Xenopus tropicalis: one gene and its partners. The protein of the gene in region 2 purifies or fractionates together with the protein of the main gene of each other region. This does not show direct contact. Links are inferred from orthologs where the notes say so. Each region holds a gene or a part of one and is shown on either strand. Other genes may lie near its edges. The genes, in order: wdr48, atad5 and rfc5.

The links.
Region 1: the proteins of atad5 (region 2) and wdr48 purify together in Homo sapiens (affinity purification with western blotting; 3 studies listed by BioGRID). This does not show direct contact. The link is inferred for Xenopus tropicalis from reciprocal best matches to the Homo sapiens genes ATAD5 and WDR48.
Region 3: the proteins of atad5 (region 2) and rfc5 purify together in Homo sapiens (affinity purification with mass spectrometry; 4 studies listed by BioGRID and IntAct, counting the BioPlex papers as one, with this or other methods). This does not show direct contact. The link is inferred for Xenopus tropicalis from reciprocal best matches to the Homo sapiens genes ATAD5 and RFC5.

What each region holds. Positions count from the first base shown.
Region 1 is NC_030682.2:13,430,788-13,438,150, forward strand, and holds part of wdr48 (WD repeat-containing protein 48), read right to left. Parts: intron 2,413-7,363; coding exon 2,272-2,412; intron 1,251-2,271; coding exon 1,172-1,250; intron 356-1,171; coding exon 273-355; intron 182-272; coding exon 52-181; intron 1-51. UniProt on the Homo sapiens protein: Regulator of deubiquitinating complexes, which acts as a strong activator of USP1, USP12 and USP46. Enhances the USP1-mediated deubiquitination of FANCD2; USP1 being almost inactive by itself.
Region 2 is NC_030686.2:51,963,956-51,971,391, forward strand, and holds the start of atad5 (ATPase family AAA domain-containing protein 5), read right to left. Parts: upstream 4,348-7,436; 5' UTR 3,853-4,347; coding exon 3,802-3,852; intron 1-3,801. UniProt on the Homo sapiens protein: Has an important role in DNA replication and in maintaining genome integrity during replication stress.
Region 3 is NC_030677.2:165,243,266-165,250,628, reverse strand, and holds part of rfc5 (replication factor C subunit 5), read right to left. Parts: intron 4,861-7,363; coding exon 4,796-4,860; intron 3,718-4,795; coding exon 3,581-3,717; intron 1-3,580. UniProt on the Homo sapiens protein: Subunit of the replication factor C (RFC) complex which acts during elongation of primed DNA templates by DNA polymerases delta and epsilon, and is necessary for ATP-dependent loading of proliferating cell nuclear antigen (PCNA) onto primed DNA.

The DNA of each region.
Region 1 (7,363 bases), on a different chromosome or scaffold from region 2:
TGGGAACATTAACGTGATAGGATAGCTTCCCGTGCCGCCACTATTACTTACTGGTGACTGTATTGTTGGAGGCAGTCAGTGCAGTGAGAGTATTTACATCCCAGAGAAATATCTGCCTGTCCAATCCTGCAGATGCCACCAGTTCTTTATCTTTTGCATAAGCCAAAGCTTTCACATAGTCCTGCAGTACCAAAGAAAACAAGTGAAAGGGGTATAAGCACATCAATCACACAAAAGGGTGAACTCCACCTAAAATTAAAAATACATCTTACCTTGTGTGTCCTTAGGGTGGACATACAAAACCCCTTGTGTGCGTTCCATACTTTAACGGTAGTGTCCGAAGATGCAGAGATCACTGAAAAATAAGCATTCCTTGAGCTTAGGCATTTTAAGTGTAGTTACAGATTCAGTGCAGCAATATTCAAGTACAAGGACTTCATGATTAAAGAGGTTCAGGTATTAACACAGCAACCCGAAAGGGAAATGCACCATAAAAAACCCTCAGAAACCTATTTCTCCTATGTGGAATGTGACAGTCCCCAGGTCCATGTATGTCAGGGGAGAGAGCTCTATAGGCCCGGACTGGCAATCTGTGGGTTCTGGCAAATGCCAGAGGGGCTGCTGTAAGATGCCACAGACAGTCACTGTCTATTGGGCTGGTGGGGGGCTGTTTGGGCCTCTGTGTACTTGAAATGCCAGGGCCTATTTTAAATCTTGGTCCAGACATGGAGCTCTAGTTTACCTCCACAGAAGAATACTTTGATAAATGCCAGAAGTTAGTTAAGGGCCTAATAGCTTTTTCTAGTTTCCTGAGCAGGGGAACTTTACCCAAACCATTACAACTGTGCCTCAAAGGGTTGAATACTCACATTGACAGTTATATGCAGCCTGCAATCTTCCAGCTGTTAAAGGCAGGAGGGCTAAATATCCCTCTCTTAGGGGGTTATGTAATAAAACAAAGAAGCAGTAACCCATTAGTAACAAACCAGCGGGTACAATTTACTGGTCAGCTGTTTAAAAGCAAACATCTTATTGGTTGCTATGGGTTACTGCTCCTGTGGCAAACTTAGTGCCTTTTAATAAAAATGGGGGTAACAATAGCAGGTCAATCCCAAAAGTGTCCCATATAATTCAACGAGTACTTAAATTTGATAAAAGCCAAAATACTTACATGTTTTGCCATTGCAGCAGAGGACAATGTCATTGACCCAGTCAGTGTGGTGTTCCATAGAAGCTATATATGGATCTTGCTAAAATATAAATTGAGACATAACAGCTTTTAGGAGGATGAAACAGAAAATCTATATTAACAGAGAGGCATGTATGGTAGCACCTAGTGAATTTGTTTAAACACCAGCAAGGCTTGTTAATATAATTTCAATTTATACTTTAGTGGGCACAGACACAGTCAGGGAAAGGCCCTTTGTCCGTAATACAACATGGGATTCATGGCAGTATGCTTATTTGTCTGTTCTATTACAGGACTACTAATGAACTAAGGAACATAGTAAAGAGGAATATCCGTCTGATTGGTACATCATTCCATTGAGGGGTAATTAGTATGGCATGTTATTTAGCTTGCAATCTCTACAGGGCAGGGACCTCCATCCTCCTGTCTCTTTGATTCTTAACTTATATCAACTTGTATTTATTTTTATTTATGATCATACTTTGTATTTATCTATTATTTTAATAACATGTTTCACACCATGAGGCAATTAATGATAGATTAATGAGTAAAATACACATAGACATTTAAAAGAATGAGGTACTAAAATGGGGAAACTAAAAGGGGGTCAATGTGGATTGATAAAAGCTGCTTATTTGGTCCACAGGGCCAATATCAGCAGTTTTTATCAGCCCCTTACTGGTTTGTCTATAGGGACCTGCCCCTCCAATAGCAATGTACACACATCAACAGAACCAGACATGCAACAAGCAGCCATACAGGCAGGATGATGCCAATAAGGCAGAGTGTTCTGTAGCAATTCAAAGACTCCAGAAAATGTAGTCTGAGGAGCCAAGCGACTGATCCACGTTATTGATCCTAAGATCGGGGAGCCGGTTTCCATTACCAACATCAAAGTTATGAGATTTGCAAACAGTTAGGAGGCACGGCCGCATCAGTCATCGTTGCTCTAATGACTAACAGGGAACATGGCATTTCCTAGAAGAGGAAATCCATTAAGAAGCACATGCAAATAACTGAGTGTGCTCCCTGCGCTCCCAGCCTCCCTTGCTCCTAATCACTTTATCTGAGTGAGGATTAACCTTGTGCTGGTTGACATTCCATATCCGGATGATGGAATCCCGGCCCGCTGTGAAGAGCCTGTTCAGCGCAGGATCGAGCTGCAATGCGTTCACCCCATTGCGATTGTACTTCTCCACTTCATCTCTTATCACATAGGATACCTGAGGCAGATACAGACAGTTCAACAGTGAATATACACCGCAAGTTACTCTAATCATTACGCTGGCGGCTGGCCATACACGCACCAATATAATCATAGGAAACAAAGCTTTGTACAATTTTCAGACTGCGTGTGGGTTTCAAATTATTGTCCATACAATTTTCATAGCAGGGCAATCAGTCAATTACACAGGTTAGAAAATTTCAGTCAAAAGGCGATAATCTCTGTGCATGTATTGCCGATCTGACAATATCTATGGGGGACCTACACTGTATTTCTGGAACATAACTTTCGTACGATTGTTGTCTGGCAATTATTAATGGCCAAAACATCATCAGATTTGTTATTTTTAAGACTTTAATCCTACAGGTTCAATCTGAACTTTAGTTTTAGATAATTGCATTAAAGGACATGTCAACCCCAAAAAAATGTTTTTGGGCCTATTTTGAATCATGGTCTGTACCTGGGTTGCAGGGCATTATTGTGGAGGAAAGGGCTTTCCCCGTCCTGTCGCTGCAAAGTAGCAAGCATGGAATTGTCAAGTATATCATTGTATGTTGCAACCTTAAAGGAACAATTCAGTATAAAAATGAAACTGGGTAAAATAGACTGAGCAAAATAGAAAATATTTGTAATCTAGTTAATTAGGCAAAAATTTCATCTATAAAGGCTGGAGTGAGCAGATGTCTAACATAATAGCCAGAACACTACTTCCTGCTTTCAGCTCTCTAACCTTTTAGTCAGTCAGTGACTTTATGGGGGGCCACATGGGACATAACTGTTCCGTTAGTTTGTGACCACGCAGGTCAGATTCAAAAGCAAACTAACTGACAGTTATGTCCCACACAGCCCCCCTAAAGTCACTGATTGGTTACTGACTGCTAACAGCTTAGAAAGCTGTAAAGGAGGAAGCGGTGTTTTGGCCATTATGTTAGACATCCACCCACTCCAGCCTTTATAAATTACATTTTTGCTGAACTATATTGAAAACATTTTTAATGTTGCGCAGTCTGTCTATTCTACCCAGTTTCATTTTCACGCTGAACTGTTCCTTTACGTAAACCAGGGGTCCAGACAGTTCCAGTCCATTATTGCCTGTACCGCAAACTTTGGTCAGCATTGCATATTTAGGCACGTAGCTCCTTTCTGGCATATGCCAAACCCTGACTCGGCTACCAAACTTCTAGATAGGAAAGTGCGATTTATCCCAATGATAAAAACTTTTGCATGTGGTGATATTGGGCTTGTGTGACATGTAGACAGTCTATAAGGTTACTGTCACACGGTCCTGTCTGTTTTATGGTGTGTCAGCACCCAAAGACACTGCGGTGACCTGGGACACGGAGCGGATTTCAGCGCCAAAACACGAGTATGCGTTTTCATGCAAAAATCTACTCTGTGTGGAGTAAAATTAAAATGTGAGATTAAAGCTTGCCACAGAAAAATTCACCAACTTTCTATTCATTCCTATGGGATTATTAGACACGTGATTATCACTGGGTGAAAGTAAGCGTTCCCCAATTGATAAGTGCGCTACTAAAAATCCCATAGGAATGAATAGAAAGCGGATGAATTTTCCTGTGGTGTGCTCTAATTTCACATTTGAATAAATCTGCCCCATAGTGTACTTGTACCATATACATGTTTATCTTTTGCTGACAGTAATTTCACAAAATGTTCTGTTCTATATAGATTACTTTCCATCACTCTAACAGCAAGTATAAGAGAAAGCGCATTAATGTTAGGTCTCATATGGGGAAGTAATAGAGAAGCTTTAATGTGAGGGAAGCCCTCAGAGATATAAGCTACTTAGTAAAAAGAAAATATTCTCAAATAATCATTCATAAATAAACAGAACTTTGGTTCTGCTACATTGCTCATACATGCAATAACAGAGTGTAATGTTGCGCACTATATCGAGTCAATGTTCTATGTTCCCTGTTAGCGCTAAACACATGAACAAGTTGCAGAGGAAGCACCTACAGAAGCTATAAATAAGCCATTGTTTCCAGCGTGTCAGTGTGTAGCACAACCTGCACTCTATACAGTATGGATATCAGACACAAGCCTATTTTTAGCCTGCTATACATTCTTTACTCATAAGTCATTCATACTTGAGCCCTTACAGCACAGAAGGGGTAAATATACCCTATTAACTATCTAACAGTTCAAAATAAAGAGCCAGACAAGGCACAAAGGCTTGCTGTTGCACTTAATGTGAAAATAAAGGCTTTTATCTTTAATTGTAAATGATATAACACAGGTCCTGCTGCCCAGATAGAGTGTTCTATATTAGAGTAAAGCTGGCTATATATGGAAAGATTTGCTTTCTACCTAAATGTGACAGAATTGAAAGCTTACCTGCCTATGGGGACCCCGATAGGCCTAACTTACTCTGATGACTACTATACCCATTGTTGTAATTTGATTGTTTGGCCCTAGGGGCAAAGAATCAAATGATCACAATTTCACCCACCTTCTTAATGTGTATGGCCACGTTAAGGTGGGCGATATCAGAGTAATCTGATCATTTGGCCCTTGGGTCAAACGATTATGGATTAACACCGCTAGTGTATGGCCACCATAACCAATACTCTCCACAATCTCTCTTAAAAAATGAAATAGTCTTTCCCTGTTTTGGCCATCTAAGCAGCCAGTACAGGCTGATTAGAATAAAAAAAAATTATATATATATTTAGGTATAGACTCTTATCAGGAATGCTTGGGACCTACGCTTTTCTGTATAAAGAATCTTTGTTTGGATAACTATACATGAAATAAAGATAAGAGGATTGTTTTGCCACACATATAGGCTGATGCAGCTTAGTTGGGATCAAGTGTAGGTACGGTTTTATTATTACAGAGAAAAGGGAATCATTTAACCATTAAATAAACCCAATAGGGCTGTTCTGCCCCAATAAGGGGTAATTATATCTTAGTTGGGATCAAGTACAGGTACTGTTTTATTATTACAGAGAAAAGGGAATCATTTAACCATTAAATAAACCCAATAGGGCTGTTCTGCCCCCAATAAGGGGTAATTATATCTTAGTTGGGATCAAGTACAGGTACTGTTTTATTATTACAGAGAAAAGGGAATCATTTAACCATTAAATAAACCCAATAGGACTGTTCTGCCCCCAATAAGGGGTAATTATATCTTAGTTGGGATCAAGTACAAGTACTGTTTTATTATTACAGAGAAGAAGGAAATTATTTTAAAAAATTTGAATTATTTGCTTAAATGGACTCTATGGGAGATGGCCTTCCAGGAATTCGGAGCTTTCTGTATAATGGGTTTCCAAAAACAGATCCCATACCTGTACAGGTAAAGGACCAGTTATCTAGAATGCTCCGGATCTGGGGTTTTCCTTATAAGGAGTCTTTCCATAACTTGGATCTCCATAACTTAAGTCTACTAAAAAAATGTGATATTAATTAACCCAATGTGATTGATTTGCCTCCAATAAGGATTAATTATGTATCAGTTGGGATCGAGTAGATCCCTGATGGATTCAGCCGAATACCGAACCGAATCCTAATTAGCATATCCTAATTAGCTATAAGCATAAGGGCGCACAATGAATTTTTTTTCCCCCTAACACTTAACCCTTCCTAATGCTAATTAGCATATGCTACTTAGGATTCGGTTCGGCCAGGACCATGGATTCGCCCGAAAACTAACCCTGCCCAAAAAGGCTGAATCCTGGCTGAATACAGAACCGAATCCTTGATTCCGTGCATCCCTAGATAGAAAAAAAAAAAATAATAAATATATATATATATATATATATATATATATATATATATATGTATAGGATATATATGGATGATATATGTATTAGATATTTATGGTTATGACATATGGATGTGATGATACACATGGATGTGATGATATACATCACTTAAGGGGTGACATGATAACTATGTATAAATATATAAAGGGATCATATAATAACCTCTCTAATGTTTTATTTACCAGTAGGTCCTTCCAACGGACACGAGGGCACCCACTCCGTTTAGAAGAAGGGAGGTTCCATTTAAATATTCGGAAAGGATTTTTTACTGTGAGAGCTGTGAAGTTCTGGAATTCCCTCCCCGAATCAGTCGTACTGGCTGATACATTATATAACTTTAAGAAGGGGCTGGATGGATTCTTAGCAAGTGAGGGAATACATGGTTATGGGAGATAGCTCTTAGTACAAGTGAGGGAATACAGGGGTAGGGGGGATAGCTCTCAGTACAAGTGAGGGAATACAGGGGTAGGGGAGATAGCTCTCAGTACAAGTGAGGGAATACAGGGGTAGGGGAGATAGCTCTCAGTACAAGTGAGGGAATACAGGGGTAGGGGGGATAGCTCTCAGTACAAGTGAGGGAATACAGGGGTAGGGGAGATAGCTCTCAGTACAAGTGAGGGAATACAGGGGTAGGGGAGATAGCTCTCAGTACAAGTGAGGGAATACAGGGGTATGGGAGATAGCTCTCAGTACAAGTGAGGGAATACAGGGTTATGGGAGATAGCTCTTAGTACTAGTTGATCCAGGGACTGGTCCGATTGCCATCTTGGAGTCAGGAAGGAATTTTTTCCCCTCTGCGGCAAATTAGAGAGGCTTCAGATGGGTTTTTTTTGCCTTCCTCTGGATCAACTAGTAGTTAGGCAGGTTATATATAGGCATTATGGTTGAACTTGATGGACATATGTCTTTTTTCAACCCAACTTACTATGTTACATGGATGTGATGATATATATGGATGTGATATATATGTACAGGCTATAAATGGATGTGATATATATGTACAGGCTATAAATGGATGTGATATATATGTACAGGCTATAAATGGATGTGATATATATGTACAGGCTATAAATGGATGTGATATATATGTATAGGATTTATATGGATGAGCTATATTTGGCTATATGGCTGAGCTATATATGGCTATATGGCTGA
Region 2 (7,436 bases):
TAGGAAAGGCACAGTTCCCAGCTGCCCCCCATACCAGTAGGGAAGGCACAGTTCCCAGCTGCCCCCCCCCCCATACCAGTAGGGAAGGCACAGTTCCCAGCTGCCCCCCCCCCCATACCAGTAGGGAAGGCACAGTTCCCAGCTGCCCCCCCCCCCCCCATACCAGTAGGGAAGGCACAGTTCCCAGCTGCCCCCCCCCCATACCAGTAGGGAAGGCACAGTTCCCAGCTGCCCCCCTCCCATACCAGTAGGGAAGGCACAGTTCCCAGTTGCCCCCCCCCCCCATACCAGTAGGGAAGGCACAGTTCCCAGTTTGCCCCCCCCCCCATACAGTAGGGAAGGCACAGTTCCCAGCTGCCCCCCCCCCATACCAGTAGGGAAGGCCACAGTTCCCAGCTGCCCCCCCCCCATACCAGTAGGGAAGGCACAGTTCCCAGCTGCCCCCCCCCCCCATACCATTAGGGAAGGCACAGTTCCCAGCTGCCCCCCCCATACCAGTAGGGAAGGCACAGTTCCCAGCTGCCCCCCCATACCAGTAGGGAAGGCACAGTTCCCAGCTGCCCCCCCCCCCCCCCCCATACCAGTAGAGAAGGCACAGTTCCCAGCTGCCCCCCCATACCAGTAGAGAAGGCACAGTTTGCCAGCTGCCCCCCCCATACCAGTAGAGAAGGCCACAGTTGGTGCCCCCAGCTGGGCCACCCCCCCCCCATACCAGTAGGGAAGGCACAGTTCCCAGCTGCCCCCCCCCATACCAGTAGGGAAGGCACAGTTCCCAGCTGCCCCCCCCCCCATACCAGTAGGGAAGGCACAGTTCCCAGCTGCCCCCCCCCCCCATACCAGTAGGGAAGGCACAGTTCCCAGCTGCCCCCCCCCCCCATACCAGTAGGGAAGGCACAGTTCCCCAGCTGCCCCCCCCCCATACCAGTAGGGAAGGCACAGTTCCCAGCTGCCCCCCCCATACCAGTAGGGAAGGGCCCCCCATCAGTGGGTCCCAGCTGCCCCCCCCCCATACCAGTAGGGAAGGCACAGTTCCCAGCTGCCCCCCCCCCCATACCAGTAGGGAAGGCACAGTTCCCAGCTGCCCCCCCCCCATACCAGTAGAGAAGGCACAGTTCCCAGCTGCCCCCCCCCCATACCAGTAGGGAAGGCACAGTTCCCAGCTGCCCCCCCCCCATAACCAGTAGGGAAGGCACAGTTCCCAGCTGCCCCCCCCCCCATACCAGTAGGGAAGGCACAGTTCCCAGCTGCCCCCCCCCCCCCATACCAGTAGGGAAGGCACAGTTCCCAGCTGCCCCCCCCCCCCCCATACCAGTAGGGAAGGCACAGTTCCCAGCTGCCCCCCCCCCATTACCAGTAGGGAAGGCACAGTTCCCAGCTGCCCCCCCCCCATACCAGTAGGGAAGGCACAGTTCCCAGCTGCCCCCCCCCATACCAGTAGGGAAGGCACAGTTCCCAGCTGCCCCCCCCCATACCAGTAGGGAAGGCACAGTTCCCAGCTGCCCCCCCCCCCCATACCAGTAGGGAAGGCACAGTTCCCAGCTGCCCCCCCCCCATACCAGTGGGGAAGGCACAGTTCCCAGCTGCCCCCCCCATACCAGTAGGGAAGGCACAGTTCCCAGCTGCCCCCCCATACCAGTAGGGAAGGCACAGTTCCCAGCTGCCCCCCCCCCCATACCAGTAGGGAAGGCACAGTTCCCAGCTGCCCCCCCCCCCATACCAGTAGGGAAGGCACAGTTCCCAGCTGCCCCCCCCCCATACCAGTAGGGAAGGCCACAGTTCCCAGCTGCCCCCCCCCCATACCAGTAGGGAAGGCACAGTTCCCAGCTGCCCCCCCCCCATACCAGTAGGGAAGGCACAGTTCCCAGCTGCCCCCCCCCCCCCCATACCAGTAGGGAAGGCACAGTTCCCAGCTGCCCCCCCCCCCATACCAGTAGGGAAGGCACAGTTCCCAGCTGCCCCCCCCCCATACCAGTAGGGAAGGCACAGTTCCCAGCTGCCCCCCCCATACCAGTAGGGAAGGCACAGTTCCCAGCTGCCCCCCCCATACCAGTAGGGAAGGCACAGTTCCCAGCTGCCCCCCCCCCCATACCAGTAGGGAAGGCACAGTTCCCAGCTGCCCCCCCCCCATACCAGTAGGGAAGGCACAGTTCCCAGCTGCCCCCCCCATACCAGTAGGGAAGGCACAGTTCCCAGCTGCCCCCCCCCCCATACCAGTAGGGAAGGCACAGTTCCCAGCTGCCCCCCCCCCCCATACCAGTAGGGGAAGGCACAGTTCCCAGCTGCCCCCCCCCCCCATACCAGTAGGGAAGGCACAGTTCCCAGCTGCCCCCCCCCCATACCAGTAGGGAAGGCACAGTTCCCAGCTGCCCCCCGGGGGGCCGTCCCCCCCCCCCCATACCAGTAGGGAAGGCACAGTCCCAGCTGCCCCCCCCCATACCAGTAGGGAAGGCACAGTTCCCAGCTGCCCCCCCCCCCCCCATACCAGTAGGGAAGGCACAGTTCCCAGCTGCCCCCCCCCCCCCCATACCAGTAGGAAGGCACAGTTCCCAGCTGCCCCCCCCCATACCAGTAGGGAAGGCACAGTTCCCAGCTGCCCCCCCCCATACCAGTTAGGGAAGGCACAGTCCCAGCTGCCCCCCCCCCCATACCAGTAGGGAAGGCACAGTTCCCAGCTGCCCCCCCCATACCAGTAGGGAAGGCACAGTTCCCAGCTGCCCCCCCCCCCATACCAGTAGGGAAGGCACAGTTCCCAGCTGCCCCCCCCCCCATACCAGTGGGGAAGGCCACAGTTCCCAGCTGCCCCCCCATACCAGTAGGGAAGGCACAGTTCCCAGCTGCCCCCCCATACCAGTAGGGAAGGCACAGTCCCAGCTGCCCCCCCCCCCATACCAGTAGGGAAGGCACAGTTCCCAGCTGCCCCCCCCCCCATACCAGTAGGGAAGGCACAGTTCCCAGCTGCCCCCCCCCCATACAGTAGGGAAGGCACAGTTCCCAGCTGCCCCCCCCCATACCAGTAGGGAAGGCACAGTTCCCAGCTGCCCCCCCCCCATACCAGTAGGGAAGGCACAGTTCCCAGCTGCCCCCCCCCATACCAGTAGGGAAGGCACAGTTCCCAGCTGCCCCCCCCCCCATACCAGTAGGGAAGGCACAGTTCCCAGCTGCCCCCCCCCATACCAGTAGGGAAGGCACAGTTCCCAGCTGCCCCCCCCCATACCAGTAGGGAAGGCACAGTTCCCAGCTGCCCCCCCCATACCAGTAGGGAAGGCCACAGTTCCCAGCTGCCCCCCCATACCAGTAGGGAAGGCACAAGTTCCCAGCTGCCCCCCCCCCCATACCAGTAGGGAAGGCACAGTTCCCAGCTGCCCCCCCCCATTACCAGTAGGGAAGGCACAGTTCCCAGCTGCCCCCCCCCATACCAGTAGGAAGGCACAGTTCCCAGCTGCCCCCCCCCCCCATACCAGTAGGGAAGGCACAGTTCCCAGCTGCCCCCCCCCCATACCAGTAGGGAAGGCACAGTTCCCAGCTGCCCCCCCCCCCCATACCAGTAGGGAAGGCACAGTTCCCAGCTGCCCCCCCCCCCATACCAGTAGGGAAGGCACAGTTCCCAGCTGCCCCCCCCCATACCAGTAGGGAAGGCACAGTTCCCAGCTGCCCCCCCCCCATACCAGTAGGGAAGGCACAGTTCCCAGCTGCCCCCCAATGACAAGCGGGCAAGAGACTGGCGGGCAAGAGACTGGCGGGCAAGAGACAGGCGGGCAAGAGACAAGCGCAGCTCCAGTCGCAGTGAGAGAGAGGCCCCACCTGGCATCCATACTGCTCCAGGGACGCGGCCATAGCGAGTATCCCGACCATCTCCCCGGTACGCTCAGTCACACACAGCGGCTCATACCGACACCCCCAGTCCGGAGCCGGAGCCACAAGCAGAATAGAATTTCCCGCGCAAACCTGCCCCACGGGAGCGCGCACCAACCAACTGCCAATCCCACACAAGGCGCGCTCCCGAACAACGCTCAGCGAGCAACCCCATTGGCTGGCACTATTCTGACATCATCAGTAAGCGCCCGGAACGCCTCAAACTGGAACTTCCCGCCTAAACCTGCCACTTCCGGGAAGAATTGAATGAGAGGAAACAATTGCTTGGAACGGTGTCTGGCAGCTACAGAACCTCATAGTATGGTGTGTGTGTGGGGATTGGTACAGCAGCCCTGTGCCCCAACTGTGCCCCATGCATACAACTGAGCTGTTATCAGATGTGTATCCAATGGTTAGCCAGTGTACCAGAGAGACTGGCACCCAGCCCCTTCCGCCAGGCACTTCCAATATCACATACAGCCTGCCCCCATGTGGCTGTTAGTAGGCGGGGCTAAAGTTTAAGATGGCACTCACAATACATACAGCCTGCCCCCATGTGGCTGTTAGTAGGCGGGGCTAAAGTTTAAGATGGCACTCACAATACATACAGCCTGCCCCCATGTGGCTGTTAGTAGGCGGGGCTAAAGTTTAAGATGGCACTCACAATACATACAGCCTGCCCCCATGTGGCTGTTAGTAGGCGGGGCTAAAGTTTAAGATGGCACTCACAATACATACAGCCTGCCCCCATGTAGCTGTTAGTAGGCGGGGCTAAAGTTTAAGATGGCACTCACAATACATACAGCCTGCCCCCATGTGGCTGTTAGTAGGCGGGGCTAAAGTTTAAGATGGCACTCACAATACATACAGCCTGCCCCCATGTGGCTGTTAGTAGGCGGGGCTAAAGTTTAAGATGGCACTCACAATACATACAGCCTGCCCCCATGTGGCTGTTAGTAGGCGGGGCTAAAGTTTAAGATGGCACTCACAATACATACAGCCTGCCCCCCATGTGGCTGTTAGTAGGCGGGGCTAAAGTTTAAGATGGCACTCACAATACATACAGCCTGCCCCCATGTGGCTGTTAGTAGGCGGGGCTAAAGTTTAAGATGGCACTCACAATACATACAGCCTGCCCCCATGTGGCTGTTAGTAGGCGGGGCTAAAGTTTAAGATGGCACTCACAATACATACAAAGAGGAGAAAGAAGTAAGAGAGAGCCAAGAGCAAGGCTTGATGGTGTTAGTGACACCATGGAATTATTTGGGGTGACACTGACAAGACTCGGGGAGACAGGGATAATGGCTTGATCTGAGGGAACAATCTGGGTTGTTTTAGAGAATATGCTGTTAAAGAACGTACCCCCTTAAGCCTGCACCGGCCCCTCCCTCACTAGGCTGACACCGCCCCTCCCTCACTAGGCTGGCACGGCCCCTCCCTCACTAGGCTGACACCGCCCCTCTCTCACTAGGCTGGCACCGGCCCCTCCCTCACTAGGCTGGCACGGCCCCTCCCTCACTAGGCTGGCACCGGCCCCTCCCTCACTAGGCTGACACCGCCCCTCCCTCACTAGGCTGGCACCGCCCCTCCCTCACTAGGCTGGCACGGCCCCTCCCTCACTAGGCTGGCACGGCCCCTCCCTCACTAGGCTGACACCGCCCCTCCCTCACTAGGCTGACACCGCCCCTCCCTCACTAGGCTGGCACGGCCCCTCCCTCACTAGGTTGACACCGCCCCTCCCTCACTAGGTTGACACCGCCCCTCCCTCACTAGGCTGACACCGCCCCTCCCTCACTAGGCTGGCACGGCCCCTCCCTCACTAGGCTGACACCGCCCCTCCCTCACTAGGCTGGCACGGCCCCTCCCTCACTAGGCTGACACCGCCCCTCCCTCACTAGGCTGGCACGGCCCCTCCCTCACTAGGCTGGCACGGCCCCTCCCTCACTAGGCTGACACCGCCCCTCCCTCACTAGGCTGGCACCGACCCCTCCCTCACTAGGCTGGCACGGCCCCTCCCTCAGTAGGCTGGCACCGACCCCTCCCTCACTAGGCTGGCACCGCCCCTCCCTCACTAGGCTGGCACCGCCCCTCCCTCACTAGGCTGACACGGCCCCTCCCTCACTAGGCTGGCACGGCCCCTCCCTCACTAGGCTGGCACGGCCCCTCCCTCACTAGGCTGGCACGGCCCCTCCCTCACTAGGCTGGCACCGGACCCCTCCCTCACTAGGCTGGCACGGCCCCCTCCCTCACTAGGCTGGCACGGCCCCTCCCTCACTAGGCTGGCACGGCCCCTCCCTCACTAGGCTGGCACGGCCCCTCCCTCACTAGGCTGACACGGCCCCTCCCTCACTAGGCTGGCACCGACCCCTCCCTCACTAGGCTGGCACGGCCCCTCCCTCACTAGGCTGGCACGGCCCCTCCCTCACTAGGCTGACACGGCCCCTCCCTCACTAGGCTGGCACCGACCCCTCCCTCACTAGGCTGGCACGGCCCCTCCCTCAGTAGGCTGGCACCGACCCCTCCCTCACTAGGCTGGCACCGCCCCTCCCTCACTAGGCTGGCACCGCCCCTCCCTCACTAGGGCTGGCACCGCCCCTCCCTCACTAGGCTGGCACGGCCCCTCCCTCACTAGGCTGACACGGCCCCTCCCTCACTAGGCTGGCACGGCCCCTCCCTCACTAGGCTGGCACGGCCCCTCCCTCACTAGGCTGGCACCGCCCCTCCCTCACTAGGCTGGCACGGCCCCTCCCTCACTAGGCTGGCACGGCCCCTCCATCACTAGGCTGGCACGGCCCCTCCCTCACTAGGCTGGCACGGCCCCTCCCTCACTAGGCTGACACCGCCCCTCCCTCACTAGGCTGGCACCGCCCCTCCCTCACTAGGCTGGCACGGCCCCTCCATCACTAGGCTGGCACGGCCCCTCCCTCACTAGGCTGGCACGGCCCCTCCCTCACTAGGCTGGCACGGCCCCTCCCTCACTAGGCTGGCAACGGCCCCTCCCTCACTAGGCTGGCACGGCCCCTCCCTCACTAGGCTGGCACGGCCCCTCCCTCACTAGGCTGGCACCGCCCCTCCCTCACTAGGCTGGCACCGACCCCTCCCTCACTAGGCTGGCACCGCCCCTCCCTCACTAGGCTGGCACCGCCCCTCCCTCACTAGGCTGGCACCGCCCCTCCCTCACTAGGCTGGCACGGCCCCTCCCTCACTAGGCTGGCACGGCCCCTCCCTCACTAGGCTGGCACGGCCCCTCCCTCACTAGGCTGGCAACGGCCCCTCCCTCACTAGGCTGGCACGGCCCCTCCCTCACTAGGCTGGCACCGCCCCTCCCTCACTAGGCTGGCACCGCCCCTCCCTCACTAGGCTGGCACCGCCCCTCCCTCACTAGGCTGGCACGGCCCCTCCCTCACTAGGCTGGCACCGACCCCTCCCTCACTAGGCTGGCCACCGCCCCTCCCTCACTAGGCTGGCACCGCCCCTCCCTCACTAGGCTGGCACCGCCCCTCCCTTCACTAGGCTGGCACCGCCCCTCCCTCACTAGGCTGGCACGGCCCCTCCCTCACTAGGCTGGCACCGGCCCCTCCCTC
Region 3 (7,363 bases), on a different chromosome or scaffold from region 2:
CAATCAAGCAGACTCCAAACTCTCCAACATGGGAAAGACCAAAGAGCTGTCCAAGGATGTCAGAGACAAAATTGTAGACCTGCACAAGGCTGGAATGGGCTACAAAACCATTAGCAAGAAGCTGGGAGAGAAGGTGACAACTGTTGGTGCGATTGTTCGAAAATGGAAGGAGCACAAAATGACCATCAATCGACCTCGATCTGGGGCTCCACGCAAGATCTCACCTCGTGGGGTGTCAATGATTCTGAGAAAGGTGAAAAAGCATCCTAGAACTACACGGGAGGAGTTAGTTAATGACCTCAAATTAGCAGGGACCACAGTCACCAAGAAAACCATTGGAAACACATTACACCGCAATGGATTAAAATCCTGCAGGGCTCGCAAGGTCCCCCTGCTCAAGAAGGCACATGTGCAGGCCCGTCTGAAGTTTGTCAATGAACACCTGAATGATTCTGTGAGTGACTGGGAGAAGGTGCTGTGGTCTGATGAGACCAAAATAGAGCTCTTTGGCATTAACTCAACTCGCTGTGTTTGGAGGAAGAAAAATGCTGCCTATGCCCCCCAAACACCGTCCCCACCGTCAAGCATGGGGGTGGAAACATTTTGCTTTGGGGGTGTTTTTCTGCTAAGGGCACAGGACAACTTATTCGCATTAACGGGAAAATGGACGGAGCCATGTATCGTGAAATCCTGAACGACAACCTCCTTCCCTCTGCCAGGAAACTGAAAATGGGTCGTGGATGGGTGTTCCAGCACGACAATGACCCAAAACATACAGCAAAGGCAACAAAGGAGTGGCTCAAGAAGAAGCACATTAAGGTCATGGAGTGGCCTAGTCAGTCTCCGGACCTTAATCCAATAGAAAACCTATGGAGGGAGCTCAAGCTCAGAGTTGCACAGAGACAGCCTCGAAACCTTAGGGATTTAGAGATGATCTGCAAAGAGGAGTGGACCAACATTCCTCCTAAAATGTGCGCAAACTTGTTCATCAATTACAAGAAACGTTTGACCTCTGTGCTTGCAAACAAGGGTTTTTCCACTAAGTATTAAGTCTTTTTTTGTTAGAGGGTTCAAAAACTTATTTCACTCAATGAAATGCAAATCAGTTGCTATCTTTTATTTAAAGTTATTTTTTCGATTTTCCTTTTGATGTGCTATCTTCCACTGTTAAAATAAACCTACCATTGAAATGATACTGTTCTGAGACTTTTCATTTCTTTGTCATTGGACAAACTTACAAAATCAGTGAGGGGTCAAATAATTATTTCCTCCACTGTATATTATATACATATATATACATAAATATACGGTGAGGGTTGTAGGTACCACTAGGGGTAGGCCATTATCTTTTTGTCCCTCCTTGTATTTTACAAGGTTCCCCCCTTGGGATTGTGCATGCTTTTATTAATTATTCAATAGTCTTAGGTCTGTACCCCTGATTGATAAAGATTTGCCATAGATTGGTCAAGTTCTGGTTCCTTTCCATGTCTTCAGAGCAGATATGTTTGTATCTTATGGCCTGGCAATAAACTATAGAGTTTTTAGTGTTTTTGGTGTGGAAGCCATCCCTTCTAAGGTAGGAGGGTTGGTCAGTTGGTTTGCTGTATATGGAAGTTAAGATGTAGTGGTTCCTAATGTGAATTGTAGTGGAAAGGAAGTTGATTTAACACTAAAAATAGCAGAGTTTTAGTTTTATTGTTACATAGTAACATAGTAAGTTAGGTTGAAAAAAAGACATACGTTCATCCATCAAGTTCAACCTTAAAGGGGACCTGTCACCAAGACATAAAAAGCTGAATAATAAAAGTCCTTTTCAAGTTAAACATGAAACCCAAATTCCATTTTTTTAATGACACACCCATACCCATTATAAAGGCATTTAAAAATCCCAGCTGTCAATCATATATTGCCTGCCCCGCCTCTGTGCCTTGCACATTTGCTATACGTTCTGGTTCATTATAGATAACTAGATCCAATATAGCTTGGTTTCTGGTTGGCTCCCCAACAACCTGTGACATAAAGTTGTCATGCAACAAGTTTATAAAAACTTGTTCCCATTTACTGTCCTGGCAGTACTAATAATCCAGTCAATATCAGGGTAATTAGAAACCACCATTATTATCACTTGCCCCAAACTAGCAGCCTTTTCTATTTGCAACAGGAGCCAAGCCTCCTTCCCTTCATTTACATTAGGGGGTCTATATCATACCCTACCATTAATTTGTTGAGTGGAATGTACTGAATTCCAAGTGTAATATTACCATTACCATTATATGGTGATAAGGATATTATCTATATCAAGAGGATATACCAAAATGTAGTCCTCTTCCAGTCTAGCCTTAAAAAGATTTGCATATTGAGGAGCAAACTGTGATCCCATTGCTATCCCCATCTGCTGGGTGTAAATATTATTGTTAAAAGAGAAATAGTTATGGGTCAGGATAAACTGCATTATTTTATTCACTGTTTCCACATCAAGTTTGTGTTTTTGCGTGTAATAATCACATACTGCAATACCATCTTTGGGTGGGATATTCATATATAGGGATTCCACAGCCATGAAGGCAAGAATTGTTCCGTCCAACTGTAGCCAATTTGTTAAGGCAATCCATTGTATCCTGGTGTTATTTTACAAGAGGTTTCAGGATGTTTTCTACCCAGCCAGATACATTTCCAGAAATTATTGGTCTGCCAGAGTTTCTCTCTTTTTAAATCTTTGGAATCATATAAAAGCAGGCTGTTTTAAGATCTCTGGGTATAAGTGCCTCCAAGCTTTCCTGGATATTAGCTGGCAATTTTTTGGTTAATATTTTGAGTTGTTTTGTGTAGTTCTCTGTGGGATCCTACCTGCAGTGTATTGGATAGCTGTCTGTGTTCGTTATGTATGTAATCAATGGTGTTTATAATGACTATGACTTCACCCTTGTCAGCTGGCTTTATTATAATGTCCTTGTTCTTCTTTAGCGATAGCATCAAAAGTAAAAATATTGTTTTCTGTTTGTGTTGCTTGTTCAGGATTGTTGTTTTGACTTTTTGTCTTTTTGACTGGTTTAAAGCCTATATTTTTCTTGTTACATCATTTCCTATCTGACAATCATAACACTACAGGCAGGGGCACCCTGAGGCGGCCTATGGGGATAACGCCCTCCCCCTCTTGGGTTTTTTTGCTTTGGAGGGGGATGAGGGTTTGCCACATCACTAGTGCCAAGAGTGCGACAGCACTCTTAGCACTAGAGGAGCCAAAATTTTGATTTAAAAATCAGCTCTTTAGGCTACCATGAGCGTTTGGTACCTACTAAATGGTTTTTAGTAGACTTAAGGTATGGATATCCAAAATAATGGAAACATGGAAAGGTCCTGTGCATTCTGGATAACAGGTCCCATTACCTGTACTTCACCATTGCTGTGCCTTTTCTGCTGCCATTTTCATCAATGTGAAGATGGAAGATCCTGATTATTGATGCTTGGTGTTTAGATCACAATATAACAGCGATCCTCAAATTATTTCAAGAGCACTTTTTGGTAATGTTTGCTATTACAGAGGATAAACTGAACAGAGTAAACCCATTGAATAAAATACCTCTAAAACCATAGAATTGAATTCTCGATCTTTGTAAAGCTGCTTTGCACAGGCAAGAATTGTAGATGTCTTCCCAGTCCCAGGGGGTCCATAGAATAGAAGGTGAGGGAGTTTGTCTTCACTGATGAACCTCTGAACTTGAAGAGGAAAGCATTTATGCATTTATAAAATCAGCATTTACTCAATAAAAATATAAATATTTCATAAACAGTTATATCTTTATAGTTAAACCTTTAAAAACTAAAGTTACCAGTGCCAGTCAATAAGTAATTGGTCAAATGCAAGTTAGAAAATGAAAGCAAACTATAAATATTGATGTAGGTTTATCACCTATATTAGTAAATAAGTACCTAAGACTACTTATCAGACTGATTCAATTCTAAAACAATTCAGACAATTTTATTTATTTTATTTATTGTGCCCAATACTTATTACAGTAGTTGCTTCTACCTAGTTAACCAATACCCAGTCCTTGCAAAGCTTGGAGAGCAACACAAGCATCATAAAAGTTGATGGAGGTGCCAAATAAGGGCTAAGATTGGCTATTAGGCAGCCTCTATGCACATCAGCTTACAGGAGGCTTTATTTGGTAGTAAATCTTGTTTTTATTCAACCAAAACTTTCCCCCAAGTCAGGAATTCAAAAATAACTACCTGGTTTGGGGGCACTGAGAGCAACATCTTGCTCATGAGCCACTGGTTGGGCACCACTCTACAGGGACTGAAACCAATGCTGAAAGCATGTATCTTTCTGACTTTAGCTTCCCATCCCTTGTCATGCCAGCGAGTACAGACCTGAAGTGCAGAAGAATCTGCTCATGGCTACATACTCTAAAAGACAGGGATGATAACTACAGCAAGTAAATTAGTAATGTTACACTGATTTTATACAAAAACGTATTTTGTATGTATATGCAGAATTCCATATAAAAAGTGGCGATGAGTGACACCCCAACACTCCAAAGAGAAAAGATTAAAAAAAGCGATAGGATTAGTGTAATCAAACCCTATAAATTATATATTATACATATATATAGCGGCTTTAGGCTGAAGGAAGCCATGTCAAGACCTTGATGGAATCAGTGAAAGGTATGTTTATAATGTCATACAGACATGTTCCTATTAAAGTCTGATTAAAATATTGTTTTAAAATATGAAATTGACAGCAATCTTGGAATTAGTACTGTGGTTTCAGTCAACCCAACCCCCAACTTACTTGTGCTTAATATGTCTTGATGAGAAATCAGGTCATCAAGAGTCTGTGGTCGGTATTTCTCAACCCTGTTAAAGTTAGAGATAAGGAAATGGTGTATAAACGGTGCAGATTACATACCCTTTCTTCCTTCTGCTCACCTAATTTCCTTTGTAAAATTGTTGGGGGGGGGGGGGCGGTTAGTTCTGTACTAAGGTCTACAATTACAAAAAAAACATGAGTTTTGCAAAAGGACTTTATATAACTTAGTAACTGGACACAAACCTCAATTTATATTAACTGACAAATGTACTAAAAATACTTCAAGTTCAGGGAGCAGACTAGATAAGAAACACTTAAAGGAACAGTAACACCAAAAAATGAAAGTGCATAAAACTAACTAAAATATAATGTGCTGCTGCCCTGCACTGGTAAAAGTTGTGTGTTTACTTCAGAAAGTCTACTATAATTTATATAAATAAGCTGCTGTGTAGCCATGGGGGCAGCCATTCAAAGGAGAAAAGGCACAGGCACATAGCAGATAACAGATAAAACACTATTGTATTCTACAGAACTTATCTGTTATCTGCTATGTAACCTGTGCCTTTTGTCCATTTTTCCAGCTTGAATGGCTGCCCCCGTGGCTACACAGCAGCTTATTATATAAATTATAGTAGTGTTACTGTAGCAAACACACCAGTTTTACCAGTGCAGGGCAACAGTGCATTATATTTTTATTACTTTAAAGCTATTTTATTTTTTGGTGTTACTGTTCCTTTAAAGACAGCAGGTTTCCCTATTATGTTTACTCAGGGGCTTTTGCTACAAAACGGCATTATTTTCTTTATACATTTTGGTTATTTTTTCATAAAGAAAATGCTGAGCTGTTCATTTATAAGACCTTTGAAAGAAAAGATGTCATCAACACACAACCCCCAGTTCAAGTCCCGGCACACTCCCCACACAGTCTATGCCAGAATAACATATTTTAGCTGCATTACAAGAGAGCAGCATTTGCCAAATACAGAACCCGAAACTTTTGACTGAAGTGTCATCTTCCAGCTCACAGTGTTACACTAAACTGGGTGGAATATTTTGCATCTCTTCCCAAATCCTCCTACACCATGGCTGTTTTGTATTCAATTTAGATGCTTATATAAATTAACATTAGTATGCAATGTGGAAGGATGCTTGTATGCAATCAGCTAAGTAGTTAGCACTCCTGCCTTGCAGCACTGGGGTCCTGAGTTTGATTCTAACCTGGACACTATCTGCAATGAGTCTGGATGATATCCCCTCATCTGTGTGGTTTCCTACCCTTCTAATGAAATTGACCATTGTGTGAATATGACTGGATTTATACTGCAAGCTCTAGTGGGGCAGGGACTAATGTGAAAGGTAAACACACAATATGAATGACAGTGTAGAAGAACGGCACTCACAGTCAATTTCACAGCAAGGACATCAAAAAGCTTGTAGAAACATGAGGTTCTTTATTAGTCCGTTGTTTCAGTTCCTTCAGGAACTGAAACGTCGGACTAATAAAGAACCTCACGTTTCTACAAGCTTTTTGATGTCCTTGCTGTGAAATTGCCTGTGAGTGCCGTTCTTCTCCACTTCTCTACACATTGCTATACTGTCCTGGCACCCAGGTAGCGTCTCTGACTTTTGGTGTGCAGCTTATGAACTGTTTGTAATTATATATATATATATATATATATATATATATATATATATATATATATATATATATATATATTATAAGCATTCTATGAGGGTCCTGTTTAACAGGGTGGAGGAGTCGTCACTTGTAATCTCATACGGCTTTACTTTTTTTTTTAATATAGGCATGGACAATGGAATAGTCATCTTTATATTATTGCCTATATTATTGCCTAGCACTAGACTAATATGATAATCTGGACTTTAGAGGAAGTGACAAATACATGAGAAGGTAGAAGACCTGCTTAGTTTCATGGCCACTAATGACCCACTCAAATGTGAATAATAATTTAACCAGATTTTACGTGGCTGGCAGTAATCCAACAGAAGAACAAGACAGTCTCCAGAAGGCAAGCTAATGCGCTCCACCCCACACACACAAAATAACAGAGGGTTACTTGTTTAAAACCATTAGTGTTTGTGAACTGTCTCAGACTCCACAGCAGGCTTTCCTCTTTCACAATGTGAGGACAAATGCCCTAAGATGTTTGCACAATGATCCACTAAAACTTCAAATAAACCAACTGGTTATAACTTCAGCAGTGGTTTCCCTTTTTCCTTATTAATGTATGTATGGTTGTGTGAGTTTGTCCAAGAGAAACATTGGGACTGGTAGTGGCCTGGCATGTAACCATTTTTAATGTTTTTTAGTGTAAGAGTGTGTGTGGATCACTCAAGTGTGTGTTACACTCGCACACATATAAGCATGGCTCAAATACTGGATTAAGCTGTCCATCACCTCTTTGCCCTGTGCTCTTTTGAGTTTATTCAAAATTATTATTATGACTTTTTAATCTCTAAAATAGTGTATTTGGGGGGATCTAACATGTTTTAAAGCATATCATCATACCACAGTATATCCTTAAAAGA